Linked DNA regions of Pelodiscus sinensis. The protein of the gene in region 1 interacts with the protein of each later gene in a pairwise test. Links are inferred from orthologs where the notes say so. Each region holds a gene or a part of one and is shown in the gene's direction. Other genes may lie near its edges. The genes, in order: MFAP1, KATNBL1, BICD2 and AMOTL2.

Region 1 (7,196 bases):
GGATGGGGTGTGCATAAATGAAAAGGTGAGGGGAAAAGTGCAGCCAGAACCTCAGTAAGAGGTTCTGGAGGAGCCGGAATAGGGGCTGCACCCTGGCGCACTCGAGGTAGGCGTGGGCCAGGTTCTCCCTCACGCCGCAGAAGGGGCAGGTGTCCAGGATAGGGGTGAACCGCCCCAGGTGTCCAGGATAGGGGTGAACCGCCCCAGGTACACACCCGTGCTCACGGCTCCATGAAGGAGCCGCCAACTGATGTCTCCGATGGGCCGCGGGATTAAGATGGAATAAACGCCGGCCCCTCGGGGTTCCCCACCCTCAGTGGATCTGAGGTCGTCCCGCCACTTGGCATGGGGGCGGGACACGCGGGTGGGGAAATGCAGGGTGTGGAGCAGGAGCGTGTGCAGATGTTCCCTGGGCGCGGTTTGCTGCAAGTTCTGCAGCCGGCTGGGGGTCCAGGGACGGGGGGGCCGATAAAAAGGGACGGGGGGGTTGCAGGAGGGGAGGGGCGGGGCGCAGGGACGGGGGGGTTGCAGGAGGGGAGGGGCGGGGCGCAGGGACGGGGGATTGCAGGAGGGGCGGGGCGGGGCGCAGGGACGGGGGGGTTGCAGGAGGGGAGGGGCGGGGCCCAGGGACGGGGGGGTTGCAGGAGGGGAGGGGCGGGGCGCAGGGACGGGGGGGTTGCAGGAGGGGCGGGGCGGGGCGCAGGGACGGGGGGGTTGCAGGAGGGGAGGGGCGGGGCGCAGGGACGGGGGGGTTGCAGGAGGGGAGGGGCGGGGCGCAGGGACGGGGGGGTTGCAGGAGGGGCGGGGCGGGGCGCAGGGAGGGGGATTGCAGGAGGGGAGGGGCGGGGCGCAGGGACGGGGGGTTGCAGGAGGGGAGGGGCGGGGCGCAGGGACGGGGGGTTGCAGGAGGGGCGGGGCGGGGCGCAGGGACGGCGGGGCGCAGGGACGGGGGGGTTGCAGGAGGGGAGGGGCGGGGCGCAGGGACGGGGGGGTTGCAGGAGGGGAGAGGCGGGGCGCAGGGACGGGGGGGTTGCAGGAGGGGAGGGGCGGGGCGCAGGGACGGGGGGGGTTGCAGGAGGGGAGGGGTGCAGGGACGGGGGGGTTGCAGGAGGGGAGGGGCGGGGCGCAGGGACGGGGGGTTGCAGGAGGGGAGGGGCGGGGCGCAGGGACGGGGGGGTTGCAGGAGGGGAGGGGCGCAGGGACGGGGGGTTGCAGGAGGGGAGGGGCGCAGGGACGGGGGGTTGCAGGAGGGGCGGGACGCAGGGACGGGGGGGGTTGCAGGAGGGGAGGGGCGGGGCGCAGGGACGGGGGGGTTGCAGGAGGGGAGGGGCGGGGCGCAGGGACGGGGGGGTTGCAGGAGGGGAGGGGCGCAGGGACGGGGGGGTTGCAGGAGGGGAGGGGCGGGGCGCAGGGACGGGGGGTTGCAGGAGGGAAGGGGCACAGGGACGGGGGGGTTGCAGGAGGGGAGGGGTGCAGGGACGGAGGGGTTGCAGGAGGGGAGGGGCGGGGCGCAGGGACGGGGGGGTTGCAGGAGGGGCGGGGCGCAGGAACGGGGGGTTGCAGGAGGGGAGGGGCGGGGCGCAGGGACGGGACGGGTTGCAGGAGGGGCGGGACGCAGGGACGGGGGGTTGCAGGAGGGGCGGGACGCAGGGACGGGACGGGTTGCAGGAGGGGCGGGGCGCAGGGACGGGGGGGGTTGCAGGATGGGCGGGGCGGGGCGCAGGGACGGGGGGGTTGCAGGAGGGGAGGGGCGGGGCGCAGGGACGGGACGGGTTGCAGGAGGGGCGGGACGCAGGGACGGGGGGTTGCAGGAGGGGAGGGGCGGGGCGCAGGGACGGGACGGGTTGCAGGAGGGGAGGGGCGGGGCGCAGGGACGGGGGGGTTGCAGGAGGGGCGGGACGCAGGGACGGGGGGTTGCAGGAGGGGAAGGGCGGGGTGCAGGGACGGGGGGGTTGCAGGAGGGGAGGGGCGGGGCGCAGGGACGGGGGGGTTGCAGGAGGGGAGGGGTGCAGGGACGCGGGGTTGCAGGAGGGGAGGGGCGGGGTGCAGGGACGGGGGGGTTGCAGGAGGGGAGGGGCGGGGCGCAGGGATGGGACGGGTTGCAGGAGGGGTGGGACGCAGGGACGGGGGGGTTGCAGGAGGGGCGGGACGCAGGGACGGGGGGTTGCAGGAGGGGAAGGGCGGGGTGCAGGGACGGGGGGGTTGCAGGAGGGGAGGGGCGGGGCGCAGGGACGGGGGGGGTTGCAGGAGGGGAGGGGTGCAGGGACGGGGGGTTGCAGGAGGGGAGGGGCGGGGTGCAGGGACGGGGGGGTTGCAGGAGGGGCGGGGCGCAGGGACGGGGGGTTGCAGGAGGGGAGGGGCGGGGCGCAGGGATGGGGGGGTTGCAGGAGGGGCGGGACGCAGGGACGGGGGGGTTGCAGGAGGGGCGGGGCGCAGGGACGGGGGGTTGCAGGAGGGGAGGGGCTGCAGGCCGAGAGCGGCTGCTCCTGGAGTAGGCGCAGGGGGCCCGGGGATCCCCCCCCGTAGTCCAGAGGGCCTGGGCTGTGCCGCGGGCTGGGCGCCGGGGGGGCGTGTGCCAAGGCCCCAGGGAGGGCAGGCGGGGCTGGGGGAGCGCCCCCCCCCGGCTCTGGGCCCCCCCCGGCTCTGCCCCCCCCCTCGGCTCTGGGCCCCCCCGGCTCTGGGCCCCCCCGGCTCTGGCCCCCCTCGCTCTGGGCCCCCCCGGTTCTGGCCCCCTCCGCTCTGGGCCCCCCCCGGTTCTGGCCCCCCCCCCGGCTCTGCCCCCCCCCGGTTCTGGCCCCCCTCCGCTCTGGGCCCCCCCCCGGTTCTGACCCCCCCCCCGGCTCTGCCCCCCCGGCTCTGGGCCCCCCCGGTTCTGCCCCACCCCCCGCTCTCGGCCCCCCCCCCGCTCTGGGCCCCCCCCGGTGTTGCATAAATTGCTGGTTTCGTCCCCTTGGAGGCTAGTCTGATTTACCCCAAGAAGAGAGTCACACTTTCAGGCTGGGTCCAACTCAAGTTTATTGGTTGCAACCAAGGTACGGCTAAGGAACTCAATGTTCAAAGCAGAGCCGACCCCCAACATCTCATAGGCAGGGGTTTTTATAGGGTTCACATCTTTCCTGGTTTAGGTGCCTTAACATGATAGGTTACTTCATCTTTGACATTTAGCATTCCTATAGGTCAGGTTAATTTTCCAAATGAGGTTAAATACAGTGCCTACTTGCTGAACAATGGGCGAGCCATACTTCCCTTTTCCCTTTCCTGCTTGAGCCGGTCACAAGTTTAAAGGATGTGGAATCTATCCATATCTCCACTTAACAGAAGACTGGATTCACCTCCCCTCGTCTCCTTATTACAAGTTATTACCTGTGACAGGCCTTGACCTTTGTCATGTCTTACTCCGATACAAATAGCAAATATATCTAAGCATTAGCAATGTATGTATATTGTACGTGCCCCTCATAGGGGAATCAATGGCTCCGGGGGTTTTGACTTCCCTTTTACACATCACCGGTTCTGGGCCCCCCCGGCTCTGGGCCCCCCCGGCTCTGGCCCCCCTCCACTCTGGGCCCCCCCGGCTCTGGCCCCCCTCCACTCTGGGCCCCCCCCCCGGCTCTGGGCCCCCCCCGGCTCTGGCCCCCCTCCACTCTGGGCCCCCCCCCGGCTCTGGGCCCCCCCGGCTCTGGCCCCCCTCCGCTCTGGGCCCCCCCCGGCTCTGGGCCCCCCCCGGTTCTGGCCCCCCCCCCGGCTCTGCCCCCCCCTGCTCTGAGCCCCCCCCGGCTCTGGGCCCCCCCGGTTCTGCCCCACCCCCCGCTCTCGGCCCCCCCCCCGGCTCTGGGCCCCCCCCGGCTCTGCCCCCCCCCCGCTCTGGGCCCGCGCTGCAGGCGGATGCGGGGCCGGGGAGCCCCGGGGCAGCGATTCCCGCCGCGCATGCAAATAGATGCAAATAGATGCAAATAGCTTCATCCCAGCGGACGAATCGCGGCCTAAGGGCAGCGCCCCCTGGCGGGCCCCGCCCAGCTACTGCCAGGGCACGTGGCCGAGTCTCCAGGCACCCGGGGGGGAGGGGTCGGGCGGCGCGAGGGACCCGATTCCCCCTCCCCCCGGCAAATCAACAGCCGGTTCCGGGATCAAGTCCCCACCCGTAGTGACGTACTTCCGGCCAGCGGGCGCCTGAGCGAAGACAATTTCCGGGTCGTGGCTGTGACGCTCGGCTGGTTCCGGTTCCGGTTCGGGGCGCGATCGCAGCCGCTCTTGTCGGTGTCGGAGGGTCCCGAGTTCGGGCCAGAAGCCGCCGCCATGGCCGCGCCCAGCGCCCTCATGAAGCAGCCGCCGATCCAGTCCACGGCGGGGGCCGTGCCCGTCCGCAACGAGAAGGGTGGGGGGGGGCTCGCGCGGGGGGCGGGGGGACATGGGGGGCTCGGGCGGGGGGACATGGGGGCGCGCGTGGGGCGGATGGGGGGGCTCGCGGGGCGGATGGGGGGACATGGGGGGGCTCGGGCGGGGGGACATGGGGGCGCGCGTGGGGCGGATGGGGGGGCTCGCGGGGCGGATGGGGGGACATGGGGGGGCTCGCGCGCGTGGCCGGGGGGATCTGGGGGTTTGCACGCGGGAATTTGGGGGCTCTCACGGGGGGGCCGGGGGGCTGTGGTCCCCGTGGGGCCGGGGCGTTGAGGTCTGGTCTGGGGTAACCCCTCCCCCTGGCAGGTGAGATCTCCATGGAGAAGGTGAAGGTGAAGCGCTATGTGTCGGGGAAGCGGCCAGACTACGCGCCCATGGAGTCCTCCGACGAGGAGGATGAGGAGTTCCAGTTCATTAAGAAGGCGAAGGAGCAGGAGTTGGAGCCAGAGGAGCAGGAGGAGGATTCAGCCAGCGACCCCCGCCTGCGGCGCTTGCAGAACCGCATTAACGAGGATGTGGAGGAGCGGTAAGCCCCTGCCCATGACAGCCCTGCTTTAGATTGTGTCTACGCTGGCAAATGAGCCACAAAGGTTTTGTTGTTCATGGGCGTTTAAAAAAACAACCCTGACTGACGAGCCTTGTTGTAGCAACCGTTAGGGTGCGTCTGCACTACGCCGCTTTTAGCAGCAAGGCTGTGTCCACACAGCCCTGTGGCTAACAGTCAGCTTGTGAGAACGCTGTTGGTACTTTTGTCAGCAAAATACTGCCACCTCCAAGGAGGTTTTGCTTTGTCAGCAGCAGGGCGCTCTTGCTGACAAAGCGGCGTTTACACTTGCATTTGCCATGGAAAAACTTTGTCGTTCATGGGGGGGCGGGGGGGAGTTAAGCATCCATGGATGACAAAAGTTTTATCAGTTGAGTGCAATTATAGATGCAGTATTAGGGTAAAAAGTGCTTTGTTGGCAGGAGTGCTCGCCAGCTGATAAAGCAAATGCTGCTCTTGGGGAGCGAAAGTATTTTATCAGCAAAGGTGACTTTTGGCAACCCAGCCACGTAAGGTAGACAAAGCTTCAGTCAGACACACCGCCCATGGTGTCCGGCCCGCCTGCCCTGATGTACACTGACAGCTGTAGATACACCTTTGTTATATTTTCAGGAGAGTTTCTCTTTGTGAAAGACCTCCCTTTGGAGATGACTCTGCCAGAGTGCTGTCCAAGGGACTGTGTAAATAAACTAAAATATGAATAAAAACATGGAAAGAAAGTTTTTTGTTGTGGTAGCTACACTTTGCATGAGTCTTTTGTGGAAATACATTTTTCAGGTGTGTAACTTTTTGGAGTGTCCCTTTTTTGTTTTCCCCACATCTTAAATTGAGGGGTCTGAGGAGGAAAAAACAGCTTTGTGCATTGGCACAAATAATTCTTTAGATGTAGATTATTGCAGTTAGTAAGCAAGTTCTGAAAGGTGTCATAAGTGGTACAGCTAGCTCTTCACAGGAAGGCAAAATCTAGAAAACAGGACAACATTCTTGTATGGAGATAGGGAGTATTATATTACTGAATCTCATTGAGAAAAACAGATAGTTGAGGTTTTATTTAACTCTTCTCTAGTCAGTAATTCATATCTATTCGGAGTAGCCAGGTCAGTTCTAGAATTGCTTCAGTCTTTAGCGTAGCCAGCGAAGAAGCAGGAGGATCCCAATGGAAGCTGTGTTTTCTGCAGTGGAAGAAACAGGAAAGTCTGTTCTGGAGCAATCCACCTACTGCTTCTACTGATGCCATGTAAACCAACCTTCTGAGAAGAATTTTACTTTTTCCAGGCTTTGCTGTGATCACTGTGACTGTAGGCCAGGCACTCACAGACTGTCCATGAGAGTTCATGCTGTAGCATCATATTCAGAAGAGCTCTGGTTGTTACAGCATGATTATATTTAGGATACTGGTGGGTCTAGCCGCGTTTTGTAGTTACTTGAACAGCTGAGATTAGCATGTGTTCAGTGTGGTGTACTGAGATGCATCTTTGCTGTGGTTCCTGGAGCCAGAACAGTGGGGTCTGGAGGGTTAGGACAAGGCCATTGTGTAGCTGGAAGCGCTGGCTTGGATGTGTGTGTGGGGACTTCAGTTTGTAGATGGGCCATGCCTATGTCACTGCTTTGTGGTAGCTGAATTGCTAACTTTGGTGTCTGTGCATAGACTGGCAAGGCACCGCAAAATTGTGGAGCCAGAAGTGGTTGGAGAAAGTGACTCAGAGGTGGAGGGAGAAGCTTGGCGTTTGGAACGGGAAGACACCAGCGAGGAGGAGGAGGAAGAGATTGACGACGAGGTATGTGCAGATCCACAAAACATGCTGCAGATGCGCTGCAAGCTCCGGTTTCCCAGGATCTCTCGGCAGAGGTTCCACAGGGTGGAGGCTGGCTCCCTGCAGCAGGAGGCAGTACGAGGTCTGTGGGCAAATGGGACTGGCTAATACACGGCCGGTCTGTCGAGAGGTTAAAGGAGGGTCTACAGGTGGCCTTGCCTTGCCTTTGGGTGTCATGGGCTGAGAGGGACGGCTCTCTCGTGATCAGTAACCGATTAAAGGATAGGAGATGGGCTGTACTGGGTTGGGTGCAGTTCAACATTTGCAAGTCCAAAGCTGATGGCAAAGCCTTACAAAGGGACCGCACGGCAAATGCTTACTCGCGCAAAGCACGGAGACTCGGAGGCATCGCCATGGGATGCTGGTAGCCAAAACTAAAGCTGGGTTTTAATCTACCCTAGAGAAATCACTTCACAGAGGACAGGGCTGTTAGCCAAGCT
Region 2 (6,860 bases), on another chromosome or scaffold:
ACCTCTCTACCCCCATACTTCTGCCTCTGATAAAAAGGCAGCAGCACAGAAGGCGAGGGGGGCAGGCAGGAGCCAGTACATGCAAGAAGCCAGTTTTCAAGACAGCAGCCTGTTCGTATGGGCTCCTGTGGAGCCACCTGCCCTTCCACACTGCTGCCTCTCTCCATGGGGTCCAGACCAGAAGGTTAACTCTTACAATGAATGAAGCACTGTGCTGCACAAAAAGCATATATTATGTACAAGGCCAAATCTATCATTTTAAGCACCTGTCAGGCAGGTAGAAGACACAGATCAGCATGGGGCAGGGGAGGCTGATACATGGGCAGCAGCAAGGGGTGGCAGGGAACTCCACAGCAGTGCAACTGGTTGTGTATTGGATTCTGGCCCCACCCCTGGAGACTGTGGAATAGTCGTGTAACCTTTAAAATTTGATGAGGTTACACAACTATTCAATTACAAACTATCGATCATCCCTAATTACAATGCCCTTGTATAGCAATCAAAGCTGTGGGAATGAAAGCCTTCTGGTCTAGGAGACATCCCTGGGAGTTGAATGAATGGTTTCCCATGACTTCACCCCATACCCTGCATTCCAGGGCACCTAGGAGAGGTGACTATGGAACTTGGTGAAGAGGGCAGGTGGTTTATCATTGGGTGCAGAGGGGACACTGCTCCATATGCTTTTCTTGCATCTCTACCTGGCACCTCATCAGCTCTGTTTGCTCCCCCACAAACCTCAACGTCTCATCTCACATCCTATGCTCATGTTCCGTGTATGCTCTCCTCTCCTCCTGTTCGACGTTTATGATCTGTAACATCGTTCTCTTCCATGCATTCTGTTGAGCTCTGTCAGTGTGGATGGATTTTGAACTTGCCCATTTAACATTTCATCCCATGTACATTTTTTTCTTTCGCCTTCTGATCTGTGACAATGGATGTATTGGTGGATCTAGAGAAGTGGGTAACAGAGTCATCGTTGCAGCTACCTTGAGTGAAAAAAGTCAAGGGTAAACTTTAGAGAAGATACATTGTAAGACACAAAAGGTTAACTCTTAGTATGAATAAAGTATGTACAAAGCCAAATATATCATTTTAAACATCTATCAGGCAGGTAGAAGACACAGCTCAGAATGGAGCAAATGGACTTGGTTTGGTGGCAGGGATAGTAAGCAGCATATTGAGATTCTTACTCTTTTGATTATGCTTTTAAAATATGTGTGACAGTGTTTGCAAACTACAGCCCTCATTGCTATCTAAGCATTTGCATTTGCAAGAGGGGCCACATTCATGAGGAACCCTGCAAGTGGGTGAACCAGGCGGGTTTTTAGAGGCTCGTACATTCAGCATGTGTTTTCCCCACGCACTCCTCTGTTATACCTGCAGACTGCAATTCTCCCTTCCCACAGTGACCTGCATAAGGAGAGGTGGAGTGAACCTGTTCTTCAGGATAATCCCTTCAAGCCCTTTACAATGATGGCTGCAAGTCTGGGGTCATGATTTTCCAGAGATGAGCAAAAGGAGGCAGTTTGCCTCAGTGCTATCAATTACAGAACTTCCACTTTTTCATCCAGGTTGCCATGCGTGATATCAGTCTTCTCCAAATCAGAGAGTATGACAGAAAGTGGATGCTGACTGAATGTGCTCAGAAATCTGTATCTTATTCTGCTATGCTTTGTGCTGCAATGATGCCAGATCACTTACTCCTAGCTTGGTGTGGAAAGATGGCCTACTGTGGAGAACGGAATAAGGCAGGCCTTCCCAGAAACCTTGTGAGAAGAATTAAAGAGTACTTCTATGAGAGCGTTGCTAAGATGTACAGGGAGGATTCCCGCTTCATCTCCAGATATGTTTACAAACTTTACCAGAGAGCCCATGCTGTGTAGGCAGAGTGGCTGCCACTATACCTCTCAGGACAGAGCAAACAGAAAAATCCAATTACATTTACCCACTGTAACTTGATTACAAAAGTGAATTGACCAGAAGTGCCCTCCCCACCATCAGGGTCCCACAGCAATACATCCCGGGAGGAGATTGGCCTCCTGGCTGTCAGTGAGACTGGATATCAATGTTTCTTCTGCTGCTTTGGAATTCTGCCTGCAAAAATTCCTCTCCTCGTGCAGCAATCAGATACAGGATTTCCTGCATGCTTCATTCTGGAGCTCATTTATGACTCTGGCATTCATGGTCAGGTATGCTGCTGAGGTGTGTTGCTGAGCTTGCCATGTGGCAAAACAGGAAATGAAATGCAAAATTTCCTGGGGCTTTTCCTCTGTACTGGGAGAGTAGTAGAGTTGAAAGTACTGGCCAGAGCAGTCACAGTGGGACACATCCTGGAGTTCAACAACATCGACTTTACCAAAACTGTGTCTGAACGATCCCAAAGTTGATCATGCAAGGTCAGATTTAGCACTACTGTTGTCAAGGGGAAATACAAAAATCTACTTTAACCACCCCTAAAGTCAGCAGAACATGGAGGAAGCTGAGCGTGTAGGTTAACAAAGATTGTGGGGACAAAGGATGAAAGCTTGGCCCAAATGAAGTTAATGGCAAAACTGACATTGTCTTCAATGGGGTCAGGATTTCACACAAATGAAACTAATGGAGTCCGTGAAGAGAAGAAGAAACTGCCTGAGAAGGTGCTGAAGTGACATGGCTAGCTGAAAGAATTATGTCTACAGTGAGAATATAAGAAGGGTTGGTCAGAAAATGACAAGTATTTTCAACAAAAAAAAATCACTGAAACTAAAATTTTTCATTTCTTTCAAAATCTTTCAGTGATTTGATGAAACAACTCAATTACTTTCCCCCTCCAATCCCTCCAGATCAGTAAGCAGGAAGAGAGAATTAATAAGGAACAAACATTTTCTATTAAAAATGAAAAATGTTTATATTCATTTTATTGAAAAATCAAAAAAGTAAAAGAAACACAAACTTTTTGTAATAATGCTAATTTCCAACAAAAAGTCATTTTAAACCTAAAAAAATAGAAACCACTATAATTTGAGGGCCAATGAGGTGATCTAAGGGGACGTCATAGTGGAACAATTGAGGGGAGTGAGACACTGGGCTGGAGGGGTGGTTGAGACTGGCAAAGGAGTGTTTGTGGTGGCAGTGAGACAAAGGAAGGGGGTAGTCTTGTGGCACCTAAGAAATCAACAAATATACGGGATCATGAGCTTTCCTGGGCAAAACCCACTTCATCAGATGAGTTGGGCAAAAGGAAGGGAGTGACGCTATCTGAGAAGTCATGGGATGGTGGGACTGGGGGGGGGGGGGGAGGAGTTGTTGAGACAGCACAATGGCCTGAGAGAAGTGTGGAAGTGAGGAGGCTGAGGTTGGGTATTTGGGGGCAGGGAAATTCCCTGAAAGTGGGTTCGGGGGGAGGGGAATGAGACTGAGGGGCTTGTGGGGCTGATGTTGCTTAAAGGGATTCAGTTAGCACTGAAATGCTTTGAGGGTCATTGGAAGAGGGGAGAGGGAGACAGATGAAGGTATATTGTGGGGATGGTGGGACTTTGAGGGGTAGATGAGGAACTGCTGAGGCTGTGACTCAGGGGCAGAAGTCAGGGCACCAGCGGGAGGGAGTGTTGAGGGTGACACTGAAGCGGGGGCACAGCTGCTGAACCTTGGGTGGGGTAGGGCAGAAGGGAGCCTGAGGGAGAGCTGAGGATGGGTTCGTCAAATCTGAGGGGGGGGGGCAATGATGCCAACGGAGGGGCTGGGGCCAGGCAGGGCAGTGAGGGCCAGCGGGCTGTCCGGGGCGGTGATGAGGATGCGCGGGGAGAGGTTGAGGCGGCCAGAGCCAGGGGTCTGGCGCGTGCAGTTCCCGCGGCCGCCCCTAGGGGACGCGGCGGCGGGGAGGGGCGCGGTCCCGCCCCGGCTCTCTCCGGCCCGGCATGCAGCGCGCCGCAGTTTGAATGGCGCAGGCTCCGCGGAGTGGGCCCCGGCGCTAGGACTGCCACGGATCAGCGCCGCCTCCTCGGCTCGGCTTGGCCCGCAGCAGCGCGGTACCATGAGCAGCGGGTGAGTGGGGCGGCTGGGTTCTCGGGCCCGCTCTCGGCCACGGCCCTTCCTCCCTTGGGGCTGAGCCCGGGGCCGCTCCCTGGGCCGGGCAGCGCGGGCGCCTGGCTCCGCAAGGGAGGCGTCCCGAGCGCCCGGCCCGCAGCTCAGCCGGGGTCGCTGGCAGGGCTCAACCGGGGTTGCACTGGCGCCTCTGCGGCGTTAGGCCGTGGCTGGTGCCAGGCATGGTCCCTGGAGGGAGGGGCTGACAGGCAGGGTCTCTCCCGCCGCGTCTCTTCCGGCTGGACAGGTGCCGCTGGGGCGGGGATACTCTCCTGGCACGTCTCTGAGTGTTGTCACAGGCCTCGCAGCTCGGTGTGTGCCGGGGCGTGGGCTGACCCGACAGCCGCCCGGCGCCTCTTGTCTCCGCCACCGTCTGCTGCTCGCCTGTGCAGCCCCTACGTGCGCCCGCTTTCTGGGCGGCCCCCTGCCGGGAGACGTTACACGTGCCATTAGTGACACGGCTCCTTCGTTTTACCTGGGACAGTGTCCGCCCCCCAGAGGCGCGAGATTGGGCAGAGTGTCCTTTCCTAGCAGGGTGATGAGATGAGCCGCAGTTTAAAACGAGATCCGTGAAGGTGTAGGAGCTACCAGGGCGGCTGGAACGCATATCCTGCGATTTGCCCTTATTTACTCTGTTTAGTGAGTGAAATTGGTGTCTTATTCCTGGGGGAAAATAGAGGTGAAAGTAAGCGGGTGTGCCCTGGTGTGCAGCTCCAGCGGCAAAAACCAGCAGGGAGCTATTTAAAGAGTTGTAGAGACCCGGATTGCGATGGGACAGTATCTATAAGAAGCTTTAAGTTACTTTCACCGCTGGGAGGAAAAAACACACTTCAGGGCTCTGGAGACTGTATTGCTTTGCTAAGGGAGTTTTGGTTTTCTGAGTAAAATACATGACTTGCATTAGCGTCATTCAGTATATTTAGATTTAATTCCTGCTGTCCAAACAAAGTTAGAGAAAATACAAATGATATAACTTATAATAGTTGACATTTTTTAAGACTTTGGAACTATATTTTTATTTTGCAAAAATAACTTTTTTCATTGTGATGTATATTACACTTTTTAGAACTGCCTCAAATCTATATATGGTCCATCAACCATATGAAGAAACTCGCACAGATACAGACAGACATCAAATCTATATGTATTTTAAAATAGTTACAGTCCTTTCTTGGTTATATATAAATTTCCCCTCTAAGCACCTTCCCCTCTTTCCATTCCTCCTAAGCTCTCTGCCTTAAGCGGAGTAAATAGATGCCACTCTGGGTGTTCTGAAGAAAATTTAATAAAATCGCAAATAAAATTTGTAATTTGCTAGTATTCTTTGTTCAAAGGAACAAATAGAACAGATAAAAGCCACTAGCAGAATTATTCTATTCAAGATAGTTGTATCCCCAGTGTAAATAAAATTGATCTACAGTGTTGTTGATGGGTCTGTGTACAAATAATGTTATGGAATTGGTAAAATGAGCATTAGCTTGAATTTCTAAATTTGTATTTGAGAATTGTAGTTTATAGTAATCATATTTGCAGGAGAGCCAGTGAGACGTGCATCTGTTTATATTTTTACTCAATTATCTGTAACACAGATGAAAATTAGTAGTCTCAGTTACTACAGAGTTATCAATGTGTAAAAAATTTTAAAAATCTGTTAAATCTGTGTCTTCACTTTTGCTAGTAATGCCCTGAATAATATCTCAAAGATGCCAATACACTATCTAAGCCCAGGTTTACACTACAGCCAAAGGCCTTCTTAAGGTATGCAGTAGGGCAGCCCATTTAGCAGGTCTTCAAGCAGCATTGATCTTCTTCTCTATAGCTTAGATATAGCCTTACTTGAAAATTTTTTGTAGGGGTTTAGCATTTTATAGGCTATGCATGGTTTTCTGAGTAAAATGCATGACTGTATCTAAGATCTACCTGGCTCTAAACCCGAGGTAGGCAATCGTTTTCATAGGCTGATCACTTAATGAATTTTGGTATTGACCATGGGGTCTGCGGTAGAGATGTAAGTGACTAATCAACTATACAATAAGCATAAGCTTATCAAATAGTTGAATAGTGACTCTACTAGTCACTCCCCCATCAAGTAATTGACTAGTCGATGGAATTTCCATCGATGAATTGATTAAACACAATTTAACATCCCTACCTGGGGCAGAACGGGCGGGGCTGGGGACTAGCCTACCACCAGATTTGTCTGGGGCTGAAGGCTTTGAAGTAAAAATACTGCAAAGGACTCGTGGCTCCTGGCCCTGCTGTTGCTGTGTGGCCTGGCAGCTGCCTAGAGTTGCTACATCTATTTAAAAGGCTCATGGCTTCAGCCCCTGCCGGTCTGGTTCTGTGACCGGGAGCCATTTAAATAGAATCCTGATACCTGAGCCACAGCTGGGCAGCAGAATAGAAATAGAAAGTGACCAGATGCAGTCTGTGGGTGGGATCCAAGTGTTAGGTGCGCTCGATCTCGTCCTTGGGCCACATCTTGCCCAGCCTAGATCTAAACCCTAATTTCCACACCCTTGGTCAGAGAAGCTGCGTTGGTGACTTCGGGGGTGCCATGCCAGGAATTGTGGCAACTGTATAAATTACTTGTTGATCAAAGGGATGGCTTGTAGAGGACTAGAGATGAAAAGAGTTAACTGCTTAACATCATCCTTACTGGGCGATGCTTATGGGTATCCGATTAACTGGCGGGGCACAGGGGCTGCTCCGAGACTAACCATTTATTCCTAATGTTTAACCAGTTACTATATTAAATAATTAACATCCCCATAGAAGACAGGACACAAATAATTAAT
Region 3 (7,991 bases), on another chromosome or scaffold:
ATCAAAGGAGTTAGTAACATCAGCTTATAACACTGGTGTAAGATCAGCAGCAGTTTGGTTGCATGTAGTGCATGCAATGGGGGGTTTAAAGGAGCATCGCATATGAAGAATTGACATGAATTTAGAGGAAAAATAACGGAGTGTATAAAAGGATAGGTTTTGGCTGTTAAGGGTGTGTGAGGTTTTCTAAATTAAGTCAGATACATACAGGTTTGCTGTTAACACAGAACTCAAGGCATTTTGAAACTTGAAAACTAAAGGAATATTCGTTAACTGCAGCAGACTGTTTACATGAAACTTTTGTTTGTCATCTTCAGGCAAATTTGTTACAGGGAAGAGAATTTAGGCATTACCTCACTGTATTCACATGTCAAATTCAGCCTCTCTAGATGAGCCGTGCAGAGTTTGGATTGGCACAAGCTCCTCAACAACACATTAGCCTTGTAGTCATGAAGCCACCAAGCTAACTTCAGACATTAAAATACTTTATTAAAGAGGCATGTTTTTATATGTACCAAGGTGGATTTGGATGAACGTAGGTACTTAGAAGATTAAAGCAGCCTGAAAAAGCCCTAGAGCTGTAGGCACTGCCCATGTAATGTACTATGTTCTAATCCTCATGTGTGCTCAGACAGGTAATTGTTTTTCATTATGTTTGGCATTTACCTGCCAATTCAATACCAATAAAATCTGAGCTGGGCCTGCTGCAGTAAAGGAACGTCAGGCAAGATCTGAAGCTGACATGCAGAGGGCAAAATAGTGCTCTCAGTTATGCACAGGGCATAACATTTTTCACAGCTCGGATGATGTATCTAGGTCAATATACGTTTTTGTTGTAGGCCAGGCCTATGAGCAGAATGTGGTCAGGACAGTTAGCCCTACATCACGGCTTATAAATTAATTCTACTTATTGTGGAAAAGTAATTACGGCATTCACTGTGTCCTGTTTACTCTTTTTGGTAACCATCATACTTTTATTCATGTACTTATTGCGGCATCTTCTGTGGGGTAAGGTCAGTGAGGACTGTCCTTCCATTGTTGCCAGCTACTCTTCTTGCCTTTGTGGGGTACTGGCATCGATGGGCGAGCACCTGGAGATTGATGTATTGCATCTGAGCAGATGTGATAAATCAATAACCAATGGATCAACCATTGTAGCATCAATCCCCAGCATAGTAGAGACAAGCCCTTAGATACTTATATAGCTCTCCACATTCCTGTAGTGCCTGAGCACTCTACACTCTTCAATGCATTTATCCTAATATTAATCCTGTCATAAGCCATTATTCCCAGTTGGGGGATGGGGAACTGTTAGATGGAGCCACTGACTTGGGAGAGATGAAACAATGGAAAAGGAAGAGATCTCCAATCTTCCTTAGGCACATGGAGGATTTACTGGGCACAATCATCATGGGTATGTCTACACTACCACCCTAGTTTGAACTAGGGTGGTTAATGTAGGCAACTGGAGTTGCAAATGAAGCCCGGGATTTGAATTTCCCGGGCTTCATTTGCATATTGCTGGGCGCCGCCAAAATGTCCACTAGTTCGGACTCCGTACCCGCGGCTACACGCGGCACGAACTAGGTAGCTCGGATTAGGTTTCCTATTCTGAACTACTGGTACACCTTGTTCCACGAGGAGTAACGGTAGTTCGGAATAGGAAGCCTAATCTGAACTACCTAGTTCGTGCCGCGTGTAGCCGCGGGCACGGAGTCCAAACTAGCGGACATTTAAAAATGGCGGCACCCGGCAATATGCAAATGAAGCCCGGGAAATTCAAATCCCGGGTTTCATTTGCAACTCCGGTTGCCTACATTAACCACCCTAGTTCAAACTAGGGTGGTAGTGTAGACATACCCCACATTACTCTAGGTGGGGAAAATTATGGCAAGATGTTTGCTTTCATCTTGTAATTTACTTGCTACCTCATTCTTATGGCCACCCCTGTGCAAAATGGTAAGAGGTCCCCTCCCCTCAGTACTCTGCCAAGTGGCGAATGGTACTCAGTCCTGTGTAGCCATGACACTGTCCTCATCAGCTGTTACTGCTGTTTCTTCCTCCATGCAGCTGGCTGTGATGTTCTCTGGTTTCTGGTGCTCCATCCAAAAAAGATCAAGAAGCCAGGAGATAGCTGATAGCTAGGGAAGAATGCTAAGGAATTCATTCTCTGCCATCACTAGCTGATGCTAATGTTAGATGATGTTGGGCCATTGAGGCTGAAACTCTGGCTGGCAGTTAGGTGTGCAAATGTGGTGAGTGGCCAGTGAAAATCCTGAGCCATATTCACAGCTTCATAGGTCTAAATATGCTACTGCTATGGTGAAATACTAATCATGAACTAATAACTGTACAAAGTATTTAACAAAATTATACCGAGCAAGTAAGATCTTGTAACTTCTGCAAATGTGCATTGCTTATAAAATTCCTTTCCTCTGCATTCTAGTCAGTTGCAAGCCTGGTCTCAATAATACATCTTATGTCACTTACATAGCAAGTTGATTTAGGCCCCACTCCAGCAAATAATTTAAGCATGTGCATAGCTTTAAATGTGAGGAGTTCTATTAAATTCTATGGACTGACTCGTGATTAAAGTTATGCATGTGCTCAGGTGCTTTGCTGGATCTGTATCTTTGAGACAACATAAAGTTTGGTCATGTGTTCACCTTCCCTCATTCATCTTAACTCCCGTATGTCCTTCTGAAAATCTGTAAATAACGATAGTAAAATAATAAAGATGTTAACACAAACATCTAAAAAAATATTGTGCTCCCTGCAAGCTGCTTACCTTTCCCCTTGTTTTCTGGTGTTTCCTTTCCAGCTCTACTCCATTCCACTGTCTGTTGTCATTTCCCCTTTTGTGCTTATCTATTTAGACTGTAAATGCCTGGAAGCCAGAACCTGCTTTCTTATTTATCTGCCCAGCACCATGCTCATCAGTGACTCTACATAAAGAAATAAACAAGCTGAGTGAAAGAAGAATTATACAAAGACCCCAAAGGTAGCAATGTAATTGCCATGACTACCTCATAAACAAGTAGGGTTGCCAGATATTTTCACAAAAAAATACTGAAAAAAATTGGTTGAGGAAAAAAAAGAAAAAGAAAAAGAAACCCCCAAACAAACAAAAAACAAACAAAAAAAACTGGGGGACCAGTATGTTCTGTTTTTTTTTTTTTACTGGACAGAGTCCACAAATACCAGACACCTGGCAACCCTATAAACAAGTGCCCCCCAAGTCAATAATAAATACCTTTACTTTTTAATTTCAAATGACAACATCAGCAAGCATGACAGTTCAGTTATAAATATAGGGAGGAATCTATAGCAACATTAGAAGATCAACAAAAACAATTAGAGGTCTAGAGAAAATATGACCTATATCTGAGGAAAGTCAAAAAGAATTGGATTTGTTTAGTTTGGAAAAGAGAATACTGAGAGATGACATGATAGCAGCTTTCAAATATTTAAAAAGGTGCTATAAGGAGGAGGGAGAAAAAAATAGGTCCAAATCCAGGCAAGCCAGGGGCTACATCCAAACCCCAGGCCTCAGATTCCACACCCCTAATCTAGATAGAGGTAGGTCCTGCCATGAGGGCAGGGAACTGGACTTGACCTTTTGAGGTCCCTTCCAGTTCTAGTATTCTATGATTAAAGGTACTCCTACTTGAGTGAAAGCCTTACAGTACAACTGTTGAAACTATTCCTTGTAACTAGTTAATGCTATCAGAATGCTATAGATCACTTTTAGTTTTTTTAACAATGAAAGAAACAAAGCCAGCACCCTGAAGAAGCATGCATAGTATGCAAGAGCAAACACATGCTTCCATTGTTGCAACCTTTGTTCTCTCTCCTCCCCCCATTCTTTGTAGCCTTCTCTCTTTGTTACTTCTTATCTTCTAGTTAGTAGGCTCTTTAAACCCTTTCTTAAGTACATAGTATTCATTCAGGCAAACATTACCTTTTACTTCACTGGGACTAAGGAGTGAACGGTTTCAGGGGTGGAGAACCTCAGGCCTTGTAGCCAGATGCTCCCCCCCCCCCACTTGCCTGGATCCTGCTCCCCTCAGGGCTGGAGCACACAAAATCTACTAAGCTTGGCCTCCCAAGATTCTGGTGTGCAAGGGGAATGTCTTTCTCCTTCTGAGTTGGCAGCCACTGTCAGTGAGGGTTTTGTTTTTGTTTCTCACTTGTGTGCTGCCCCTGACTGATTTTTGTGTGGGTCAGTGACCCCCAAACCCAAAAAAGTCCCCCACCTCTAACTTTACAGGCTTATGCAAGACCTTGATCCTGGAAAGACCTATACATATTACAAGTTGCATCGACTTCAGTATGTACTAGCACATGCCTAAATCCATGTCCCAGGTCCCCAAAAGATGTATTGTCTTTTGGCTGAGACAATACTGGGTTTTATTTGTAAAGTGCCATACACAACAACAGCACTGTATACACCAATCAATGAATAAATCAACACAGAACTACAACAAAGAAGTCAAACAGATGAATATGACCGATGGTGATGAAAATATTTTTGGGGGAGGGGCGGGGGGAGAGAGGTTTTGTCCTGTTCTGTTTAAAAGCCAGAGGGCTGCGAGTTATATACTAAGTTCACTTCCAATCACAGACAATGAGTCCGATTCCCAAAGCTATTTAACTGCCCAACTTCTGCTGATTTCACTTGAGTGGCCCCTGTTTGCAATGAACAGCAACCTACTGTATGACCTTCTGCCCCCCGCCGCAAGAATGCAGCCACCTATGTGTAACGCAGCCTGTAGGGGTCACTGTCACAAGTGAAAGTTGCCCTGATGCCGAAGAGGATCCTAACCCAGCCCCCGCTGCCAGCTTCTTCCCCCAGCCAGAATTCCTCCAAGAGGCTGGGCTGCCTTCCAGCTGGTCTGCCCGCCCTGTGCATTGTGGGACTCGTAGTCCTCTCCGGCGCAGGCTTGCTTGGCGCTAGGGGGAGGCGGGACTACAAGTCCTACAAGGCCCGCGGGGCAGCTGGCGCTGGCCGTTCCTTTTGAATGATTTCACTGCGCTGTGCCTGCCCAGCGCGTTTCGCAGCAGCCTGCCGGAGGAGGCAGGGAGCATGGTGTAAGGGCCGGGCGGGGAGGGGGCTGCCGCCGGGGACGAGAGCCGCCAGCCTAGCGCCCAGCCCGGTTCATGGCAGCCGGGGGAGCTGGCAGCGCCGCAGCGGGGCCAAGTTGTGCTGGCGCAGGGCGGCCCATGGCAGCCCAGCGGCTGCGGGGCTGGTAAGGGCGCTGCGTCCGTCCCCTCACTGCCCGGCTCGCCCCGCAGCCCCCCTCGCTGCGCTGCCCCGTCGGACGGGGCTGGGAGGCGCCGCGCCCGGCCGGCCGAGATGGCTCTGGCCACGGAGGAGGAGGAGTACGCCAAGCTGGTGATGGAGTCGGAGCCCGAGTGGCTGCGGAGCGAGCTCAAGCGGCTCTCGCAGGAGCTGGGCGAGACCACCCGGGAGAAGATCCAGGCGGCGGAGTACGGGCTGGCCGTGCTGGAGGAGAAGCAGCAGCTCAAGCAGCAGTACGAGGAGCTGGAGGCGGAGTACGAGACCATCCGCTCGGAGATGGAGCAGCTGAAGGAGGTGAGCCGCGGGGTGGTGGCCCGGGGTGACACGCCGGGAGTGGGCAAGGCAGGGAGCGCGGCGCAGCGGCCGCAGCACTGTGTGACTTTGGGGGGGGTCCCCTCCGCCTTGGGGGTCCCCTCAAGGTAAAGCCGCTGCGGAGCCTGGAGTGGCTCCTGGGGCGTGGTCCTCCCCCCCCCCAAAGGCACGCAGGACCGATGATGCACCCGCAGGGCTGCGGCAAGGACTGGCTGATCGCTGCCTGCCACGCAGCGGTGGAGATATGGCGGGGGCGTAGGGGATGCATCGCTCCTGGGAGCTGCTCTGGCCGGTCTGGGCGCGCGGGTGGATGTGATTCCCCCTCCCCGCGAAGTTTGGCTTCAGCTCTCGCTGGGCAGCAGCTGCGGGCTGCATCTTCCAACTGGGCTGGAGCGCAGCATCCTGCCCAGTGCGGTGTCACGGCCAGATCCGGCATCATCACGCTCATCACTGCTGGCGTAATGCTGGGCAGCCCTTTAAAGGGACAGCTCGGCAATTCCTCTAAGACCCTCTGCCCTTCCCATGACATCTGCTGTGTCTTCGCTCAGCTGGGCGCCAGGCACAGGAAAGCGGATACTTGAGGCTAATGCGCTGGAGATCAAGTGCCAGTCTGGGACTGAGTGTGCTCCGTGCAGGGGGAAAGGAATAATGGAAGTGACCGTAATTCTGTTCTTTGCTGCATAATGGTACACAGCCCAGGGCTCCCACAAAGCACCTCTTACATGAACCCAGTTCCCTGACTGTGAGGTGCAATTTGATATTGGAATCAATTTTTTCTCTCAACTTTCCCATCCCCCAGATATACACTGTTTTGTGAATTGCATTATTTCAATCTGGTTGTTTATAAACGGGATAAATATGGGGAGTGAACTATGAGTTACATTAAATAGATTTCCCCACCTAAGTACAAAGCTTTAAAATAGTATTTTATTTTAAAGCAGAAAATTTGTTGAGAGATAACTGTTAGGAGCAGGCCTTCTTATAATAGGTTGAATAATTGATATTGAAATATTGGCTACTGAGCATTCCGAGGATCCTTTCTGCACAGTGCTGAGGGGTCTCTAATAAGTTATCCTTATAAGAAACAGTCTGTAAAGACCAGCAAAGGAATGAATGGCTCTGCATGTGTAGAAATGCCATACTCGGTGCCAAAGATCCACCTACTGCTGAGCCGTTTGACACACTGTGTCAGCCATCCATGTTAGAGCTTTAATGGGACATGGAGCTTCCTGGCAACAGAGCCAAAAGTGCAGAAATAAAATAATTGGCCTTTTGAGCATTAAAGTGTAAAGCAGAGGCGTGTCAGCATTAACTTGGAAATTCCTCGTTGTTGCTGGATTGCCTTAGGGCCAAGTGCAGGCCCCTAGCTTTGAAGTTCCTCACCTCACAAGTGAATGGGTCAGGGGGAGCTCTCACTTTTCCTACTGCTAATTGTTCCAGGCCCTGGAGATCATCTTCTGCAACAGTAGACTGAAGGGAAAACTTCACTTGGCATGGTGATTATAGGGTAATTACAGTGAGGTTTACTTCTTCTCCCCTATCACTCAACTAGGGGTGGGGACAGGTAAATATGCTCCTCAACCCCCCAGGCTCTGTAAACAAAGGCTGGGGAGTCCCTTAATCTTCAGCCAGCAGTGAAGAGACAAAGCACTTCTTTCCATGAGTCCAGGAGTGTTGCTCTTCATCTGTCCATGTTACAGGATGCCCGTGAGGGCAGAGAGCAGCTGTGTTCACCTATTCCTCTGGCCCGCTCAGCACCAAAGATCTAATCCTCCACAGGGTGAAAATGGAAGAGCAGAGGAGTGGAAGAGAACCAGAGAGCTATGGGAGGGCGGGCCTAGGCTGAAGTGGCATAGGCTCAGATCACATGGAGAAGCGGAGGAACTGTAAGAGGCTGGAGATCCAAGAGTGGAAAAACAGGGCTTGAGCGACCAGAACTCCTGTTGAGGGGGGACCAGGTACCTAGGAGAGTAGGGATCGAGCTCCTGCAGAAAGGATTTCTCAGTGCTCATTTGAAAGTATGGAGTTCCTGGGGATGTAGAGGGAATGAGGTGGAAGGGCATATGATGCAATGCAGGGCAGTGAGGAAGAGCATACAGATGCTCTTGTCTGTGGCCAGACTGTATTGGGCTATCTCTCTCTCACAGGGTCCTAGAGCCAGAGCCCAGGCCCCAGCCTGGAAGTCTGCTAAGCAATGAAATGCCTGTCAGCCTGAGCCCCATGAGCCTGAGTCAGCTGGCATAGGCCAGCTAAGGGTTTGTCATTGCAGTGTAGCCATACCCAAATTTGTTTCTGTGCAGGTCTGAGCTTGTTTAAAGCAAACCCCAACTTAAGCTTTTTCCCATCAATAGGATTGTTCAGTCTCTTCATATCTCAG
Region 4 (7,655 bases), on another chromosome or scaffold:
AAGAGCCACGCCGGAAAACGGTTTCTAAAGCGGCTTCCAGCAGCGTCCAGTTCAGCCCTCGTGAAGCGCTGGGGCTGCCTTGGGGCACCGCGTCTGCCTTGGCTGGAGGCCAGTGGGGCACGGAGGCAGCTTGAGCGACCCCACTTTACGCTGGCCGGGCACGTGATCACGGACGGGACTTCGGGACTCTGGGCAGTTCCTCTTCTCGGCGGGGTCGTCTACACTCGCGCTTCGCCGGCAACACTCTTGGTGCCCACGGGCGTTAACCCCCCCATTGGCGGCAAACGAAACTGGGAACGCTGCTTGGCTGGTGGGAACGCTCCTGCCGCCAGGCGAAAGGGGCCCCCAGCGCTCGCACACGCCCACCTTCCGCCGCCAGGCTGCGTGCCCAAAGCGGCCTGGCGCAGACACCGTAGGGCCTCTGAGAGGCAGGAGTCCAGCTGGCAGAGGATTCCTTCCCCGTCCTCGACGCAGCTACACAGGGGCCAGCTCGGCCTACCTGGGGCCGTGGTACAGCGATGTCGTTGCATGGAGCCCGCCAAGGCAGGTACGTGGGCAAACTGCCCCCTTCAGCCACGTGCTTCGTCTCAGAGCGGGGAGCAACGTGCTGGCGCTGCCCTTCGCCATCTCTCCCGCAGCCACCGGACTGTGGCCACGGAGCCCTGACGCGCCAGCCTGACGGCGGGGAGGATTCCCTGCCGGTTCCCTGGCCGTGGGCAAGGGTGTGCAGGGAGCTGTGGGGCCGCAGCGAGCTGGGCTTCCTGTCTCTCTTCTCTCCTCTGGGCCCCCACGCCGGGGCTCTGCCGCCATCTGGGGCCCACGGGCCCGTCTTGGGGGGCCGACAATAGCCCCCACGGGGGCCTGTGGGACACAGTGGGGAGGATTCCCACGCCAGCCCCTGCAATGGGGCTCAAAGGAAGAGGAGGTGGGGGAGGGGCCGTGGACCCACACTGAGCTCTCCAGGGAAGGGCCGTTTGGTCCTCCCCCCCGTTTGTGACAGATGGGCCGCACCTGTCAGCCGGGGAGGGCGGGAGGGAGAGGCCAAGTGCCCTGTGCGGGGGGAGGGGACAGGGAGAGGAGCAGATGGTGAGGCAGGGTTCAGCAGGGTTGTTTGGTCTTAAAGACAATGAAGCGTCTCTCCTAACTTGGATTGCACAGGAAGATTTATTCCCCTAGACAGCTGGCAAGCGGCCTGAGTGCTTACCCGTCAGCACCGGCCCCCACGGCCCGCCGCACGCTCCCTGCGCTCTCCCTGACACACAGCACGACCGCCGCACGCTCCCTGCGATCTCCTCCCCGACACAGCACACGTACAACCCGCCGCACGCTCCCTGAGCTCTCCCTGACACACAACCCACTGCACGCTCCCTGCGATCTCCTCCCCGACACACAGCACGACTGCCGCACGCTCCCTGCGCTCTCCTCCCTGACACAGCACACACACAACCCACCGCACGCTCCCTGAGCTCTCCCTGACACACAACCCACTGCACGCTCCCTGCGCTCTCCCTGACACACAGCACGACCGCCGCACGCTCCCTACGATCTCCTCCCAGACACAGCACACGTACAACCCGCCGCACGCTCCCTGAGCTCTCCCTGACACACAACCCACTGCACGCTCCCTGCGATCTCCTCCCCGACACACAGCACGACTGCCGCACGCTCCCTGCGCTCTCCTCCCTGACACAGCACACACACAACCCACCGCACGCTCCCTGAGCTCTCCCTGACACACAACCCACTGCACGCTCCCTGCGCTCTCCCTGACACACAGCACGACTGCCGCACGCTCCCTGCGCTCTCCTCCCTGACACAGCACACGTACAACCCGCCGCACGCTCCCTGCGCTCTCCCTGACACACAGCACGACCGCCGCACGCTCCCTACGATCTCCTCCCAGACACAGCACACGTACAACCTGCCGCACGCTCCCTGAGCTCTCCCTGACACACAACCCACTGCACGCTCCCTGCGATCTCCTCCCCGACACACAGCACGACTGCCGCACGCTCCCTGCGCTCTCCTCCCTGACACAGCACACGTACAACCCGCCGCACGCTCCCTGAGCTCTCCCTGACACACAACCCGCTGCACGCTCCCTGCAATCTCCTCCCCGACACACAGCACGACTGCCGCACGCTCCCTGCGCTCTCCGAGACACAGCACAACCGCCTCACACTCCCTGCGTTCTCCTCCCCGACACACAGCACACGCACAACCCGCCGCACGTTTCCTGCGATCTCCTCCCCGACACACAGCACACTCACAACCCGCTGCATGCTCCCTGCGCTCTCCTCCCTGCCACATAGCACAACCACCGCACACTCCCTGCGATCTCCTCTCCAACACACAGCACATGCACAACCTGCCGCACGCTCCTTGCGCTCTCCTCCCTGACACATAGCACGACCGCCACATGCTCCCTGCAATCTCCTCCCCAACACACAGCACATGCACAACCTGCCGCACGCTCCTTGCACTCTCCTCCCTGACACATAGCATGACTGCCGCACTCCTTGCGATCTCCTCCCCAACACACAGCACATGCGCAACCTGCTGCATGCTCCCTGCGATCTCCTCTGTCACCCAGAGCACACGCACAACCAGCGGCACTCTTGCTCCATCACACACACATGCACACAACGCACCTCCACACGCCACCAGCTGCTAGTGATCTGCAATGTCTTCACACACACACACGCACACACACAGAGCCTGCCTGGTAGCGAACTCCTGGGTTTCACCTTCCTGATCACAGTGGTTCCTTCTGACTTTAAAGTCTGTGAGTCAGTCACACTTCCAAGAACAAATTTCCATGTGAACCACAAGGTGTATTTATCCTCCCTCCCATCATCCCCGTGGGGAAGGGCAGGGCTATTGTCTCCATTTTATGGATGAGGAACTGAGGCACAGAGAGGCCAAGTCACTCACCCGGAAGTCTGTGGGACAGCAGGGAATTAGATCCTGGCCTCTTCAGGCCCAGGCTAGTACCTTTCCCACTGGATGGCTCATCCTTTCCCCAACCGGGAAACTGGAGCCTTCCTTCAGAAGACAGTCGGGTCAGTAACAAACTCACCGTAGTAGCAGGCACGGCAGACGTGGTGCTTTCGGGAAGGTTGCACAATAGCATCCATTCTAAGCCCCCTTTTTACATTGTGACCATGTTCCACACCCGGCCTTGCCGTTGGGCTCCCATGTTTCTGAGTTCGGAGGGGCTTTGAGATACACGCCCTTGAGTTGGGCTTCTCCTGGCGCTGTAACTAGGAGGCTACCCCGAGTCGTCACGTCCCTGGAGGGGAAGCATGTTTTAACGGACCATAAGGCCACGGGCCCAGCCCTTCCACCGCCCTGCTGTGTGGCCTCATCGTTGTGCCTCTGTTTCCCTTCCCGCTGTAATGTAAATTCTCAGCTTTTTTTGATCTGAGGAAGTGGGTCTGGCCCACGAAAGCTCATCATCTAATAAACCATCTCGTTAGTCTTTAAAGTGCTACATAGTCCTGCATTTTGCTTCAACTACCCCAGACTAACACGGCTACATTTCTATCACTATTCTGGAGCAGGGGCTGTCTCTGGGTATCTGAGCAGGGCCTGTCTCAGTGGGCGGTGGTGGATGCTGCAGCTGGCTGCACACCGCAGATGGCAAGTAAATGACCTGGCTTAGAGACAAGAGGAAAGGTCCCAAAGCAGCCAGGGCTGAGGAGTTTCTAAGTTGCCAACTTCCCCAGGACTGGCCTGGGGGTCTCTGGACCATGTCATGGGATGAAACCCTTAGGAGTAAATCACAGAACTGTAGACCTGGAAGGGACCTCGAGAGGTCATCGGGTCCAGTCCCCTGCCCTCACGGCAGGGCCAAGCGAGATCATCCCTGACAGGTGTCTGTCCAACCTGCTCTTGAATAGCTCCACCACGCAGGTGAGGCCCATCCTTGACCAGCCAGGAAAGGAGCTTATAGGAAAGTTCAAGACGTTCAATATCTGTCCTAGAACGCTGTATGGCCGTGCTTGCAGAAGGGAAGTAAACGAACAGATTGACATGTGTAGGATTTCAGCTTCAAACATTCTTGATTGGATTAATTATCCATTTGAATCAGAACCTCGTCACCTTTCCAGTACTCTTTCGGGAACTAATTTGAATATTTGTGATTTGTAACAGTGGCCTTTTCTTTGCGCTGGAATGGCAGTTGAACGGGCCACTGGATTTTCCTTTTGTTAGCAAATATCTGTGATGATCTCTAAGCATGATCGTTCTGACTTTTTTCCCCCGTGAAAAGCCAGACCCATTCATTCCCCCTTTCCCCCCGCATTAAGGAAGGTGTAAGAAGTGGCGCAGTCGGCTACTGGAAGGGGCAGGATTGCGGGTGGGGCCCGCAGGTATTTGCCAAGTCTGGCTTCCTTCTGCCCCAAGCAAGCCCCCGCAGACTCCTCCCAGCGCAGAGGGGATGCCCAGGCTCCCCAGCTGGGGGGGTTTCCTGACGTCCCGCCTGACCCTCCCTTGCTGCCTGCGCCCCGCGGCCGAGGAGAGCCCTGCGCCCCCTTCCCGGCGCTTGGCCTCCCGCACGATCCGCGAGGGCCGTGCGCCCGGGCCGGCGGGGAGCCGCGGCGGCGCCCCCTGCAGGCCGCGGCGGGGCCGGCCGGGGCGGTGCTTGGTGGTTCGCCCGGCCCCGGGGGAGCCTGAAACTCTCGCATTCCTGGCATAGCGGCGCTGGCAGGCGCGGCGCGGCGCTCAGTGCCTGCCGGCAGCCGCGGGGGCAGGAGCTCGGCGAGCTGCGCGGAGCCAGCCCGGGCGGCGGTGAGTCTGCGCCCATCCCCGCGGTGTCGGGCTCCGGGAGGGGGAGCGCCCCGGCCGCCGCCTGGTCGCGCTGCCTGCCGCGGGCGCCCCCTCTTCCCCGGCGGGCAGCGCCCGGAGCAAGTGGCCGGGGCGGGCAGGAGGGCTCCCGGCGCACAAAGGGGCTCCCGGCCTGGGGAAGACCGGCCGGGCGGCTGCGCACACCCGGCTACTGTCGCCTCTGGTTGTGTGTGTGAGTGTGTGTCCGTGTGCGCGTGTCCCCGTGTCCGTGTGTGTGTGAGTGTGTGTGTGTCCGTGTGTGTGTGAGTGTGTGTCCGTGTGCGCGTGTCCCCGTGTCCGTGTGTGTGTGAGTGTGTGTGTGTCCGTGTGTGTGTGAGTGTGTGTCCGTGTGTGTGTGAGTGTGTGTCCGTGTCTGCGTGTGCCCGTGTGTGTCCATATGCATGTGCCCGTGTGTGTGTGCCTATGTCCGTGTGTGTGTTCGCCTGTGTCTGTGTGTGTGTGTCCGTCCGTGTGTGTGTGTCCGTGTGAGCATGTGCGCGTGTCCCCATGTCCATGTGTGTCCGTGTGTGTGTCTATATGCATGTGCCCGTGTGTGTGTGCCTATGTCCGTGTGTGTGTTCGCTTGTCTTTGTGTGTGCGTACTCGTGTGCACAAGCCCACGTCCTTGTCCCTATGTGCATGCCTGTGTGTGCCCATGTCCTTGTGTGTGTCTGTGTGCGCGTGTCCGTGTGTGCCCGCGTGTGTCTGTGTGTGCGTGTCCGTGTGTGCCCGCATGTGTCTGTGTGCGCGCACCCCGGGGGCCTTTGGAAGTGACCCTCCTCGCTCAGGGCCACATTCGTGCCCACGTGTAGCACACGACAGCCGAGGGGCTGGGATAGGACATACCACAAAACAGGGCTCGTTCTCGGGGGCCTCCTTGCCCATGTGCCGGTGTGGGCGCCAACAGCGAACTTGCTGATTCCTCTTGGCATTGCCCTCCCAGCTAGAACAACTCACGGGGTTTGGCCTGAAGCTTGACGCAGGCTCGGGCCCGGCGGGGTGATGCTGAGGGCAGCAAAGGGCAGGAGGGCAATAAATGAAGGAAGCGACCACATGCAACCCAGGAGAGGCCGGGGATCCAGGCCCGAATGCTCCCTACCAGGGCCAGCTTGGAGCCCAGAGGGCGCGGGTGGGTGAGGAATGTTTTCTCCACCTTCCTGGCTAGCGAGTCATGCTCCTGACCCAAGAGTTCAGACTTCCTGGCTGCACCAGGGCTTGTGAAAGGGGAGGAGTGTGGGGCTGTTGTTTTGGTTCACCCGAGGTGGGCTGGCACCGCAGAGGGCATTCAGCCTGGCAGCCGGGCTCGGAGAGGGAGGATTTCACCGTCAGGGAAGACCCGGTCAAGAACCTTTTGTGTTGGGAGTCAAGCCAGTCTTTGAGGTATGTTTGTATGAAGCAACAGGAGATTAGCATCTCCCTCTGCCAGCCCGCATGCACTAGCATGAGACTGAAACAGGTGATCAGATGTCTACTCAGGAATTCACTCGCTTGGAAGTCTGTGCGCCAAGGCATCTTAAAAACAAGGCTGCAACTTCCCCGGCTGGCATCCCTCTTCAGCCAGTGCCTAGCCACACGCAGCCCTGCTGTGATTGCCAGAGAGCAGTCAAAAAAGTGAGGAGAATGTTTTGAAGGTCCCCTCCCTCCCCCGGGTTTCTCCGTGCGCAGCCGGTTCAGTAAGATACATTTGATATTTACACTTTCAGTAGCTGGGTGACAAGCATCCACCCACAGGCGGCCAGAACGCGCACAGCTGACAGGCTCTTGAAAATCGGGTTGATTTTATGTCGCGTTTCACTGTAACGCTGTTATTATTGTGCATTTCTCCAGGGGTGCGACGGTAAAGCTGAGCCCTTTTGACTTGCTCACCCTCACTTTGTGAGCCAAATTCCCTCCCATTGTAGCAGGGCGGGTGTTTGTCTGTTTAAAACCGTGAGGTGTGCTGGGAATTGGTGGAGATGTGCGTTGTGGAGTTTTAAGTTTGGTCGGAGCTTTACACGGTCTGAGTTTGGGCTCCCGTTGGACAAGTCTCCCGGAGTGAGATGGAAAGTCCTGGAGACTGACTCGGGATGTGTGGGTTTCACAGGAACTAGGAGCCGTCTCGGCCCAGGAACGTGGGTCTGCCAAGGCTAGGGCCTTTTGTGTGACGTGTGTCTCATGTCCTCAACATCCTGCGTTGGTCTCCTGTGCGGGGTCATGACTTGGTCTCCGCCCCGTGAACTGAATGAATTTCTTAGAGAGCAGCCACAGCTTTTCCCCGCCTGCCTCGCCTGGCGCGTGGAGAGAGACGCACTCAGCGCACGCCTGCACTGCCGGGCGAAAGTCGAATTAAGATAGGGAACGTCAGCGACGTCAATTGCGTCGCTGTCGTTGAAACAGCTCCGTCTGGCTTTTGGTGCTGTCTGCGCGCACTCGTCCTTCCACTTCCCTCGCTCCTCGTGAAATGAGGGTTACAGGAGTCGGAGGAAGCCGTCCTCCGTCTCGAAATTAAATCGAAATAACGGCTTGCTGTGTGGACGCACACCTTGTTATTCCACAGTAATGCTGTTGTGTGGACGTGCACTTTGTTATTCCAGAGTAACACCGCAGTGTGGACGTGCACGTTGTTATTCCGGAGTAACGCCGCAGTGTGGACGCGCACGTTGTTATTCCGGAGTAACGCCGCAGTGTGGACGCGCACGTTGTTATTCCGGAGTAACGCCGCAGTGTGGACGCGCACGTTGTTATTCCGGAGTAACGCAGCAGTGTGGACGCTCACGTTGTTATTCCGGAGTAACGCTGCAGTGTGGACGCTCACGTTGTTATTCCGGAGTAACGCAGCAGTGTGGACG

What was found.
Region 2: the proteins of MFAP1 (region 1) and KATNBL1 interact in binary tests that used the Homo sapiens proteins (3 or more experiments, as listed by UniProt). The link is inferred for Pelodiscus sinensis from reciprocal best matches to the Homo sapiens genes MFAP1 and KATNBL1.
Region 3: the proteins of MFAP1 (region 1) and BICD2 interact in binary tests that used the Homo sapiens proteins (3 or more experiments, as listed by UniProt). The link is inferred for Pelodiscus sinensis from reciprocal best matches to the Homo sapiens genes MFAP1 and BICD2.
Region 4: the proteins of MFAP1 (region 1) and AMOTL2 interact in binary tests that used the Homo sapiens proteins (3 or more experiments, as listed by UniProt). The two-hybrid records come from large-scale screens. The link is inferred for Pelodiscus sinensis from reciprocal best matches to the Homo sapiens genes MFAP1 and AMOTL2.

The regions. Positions count from the first base shown.
Region 1 is NW_027466027.1:125,074-132,269, reverse strand, and holds the start of MFAP1 (microfibrillar-associated protein 1), read left to right. Parts: upstream 1-4,192; 5' UTR 4,193-4,296; coding exon 4,297-4,375; intron 4,376-4,704; coding exon 4,705-4,924; intron 4,925-6,590; coding exon 6,591-6,720; intron 6,721-7,196. UniProt on the Homo sapiens protein: Involved in pre-mRNA splicing as a component of the spliceosome.
Region 2 is NC_134714.1:59,894,746-59,901,605, reverse strand, and holds the start of KATNBL1 (KATNB1-like protein 1), read left to right. Parts: upstream 1-3,852; 5' UTR 3,853-4,023; intron 4,024-6,860.
Region 3 is NC_134721.1:31,014,171-31,022,161, forward strand, and holds the start of BICD2 (protein bicaudal D homolog 2), read left to right. Parts: upstream 1-4,976; 5' UTR 4,977-5,356; coding exon 5,357-5,596; intron 5,597-7,991. UniProt on the Homo sapiens protein: Acts as an adapter protein linking the dynein motor complex to various cargos and converts dynein from a non-processive to a highly processive motor in the presence of dynactin.
Region 4 is NC_134720.1:1,016,527-1,024,181, reverse strand, and holds the start of AMOTL2 (angiomotin-like protein 2), read left to right. Parts: upstream 1-4,639; 5' UTR 4,640-4,791; intron 4,792-5,878; exon of another isoform or gene 5,879-6,207; intron 6,208-7,655. UniProt on the Homo sapiens protein: Regulates the translocation of phosphorylated SRC to peripheral cell-matrix adhesion sites. Required for proper architecture of actin filaments.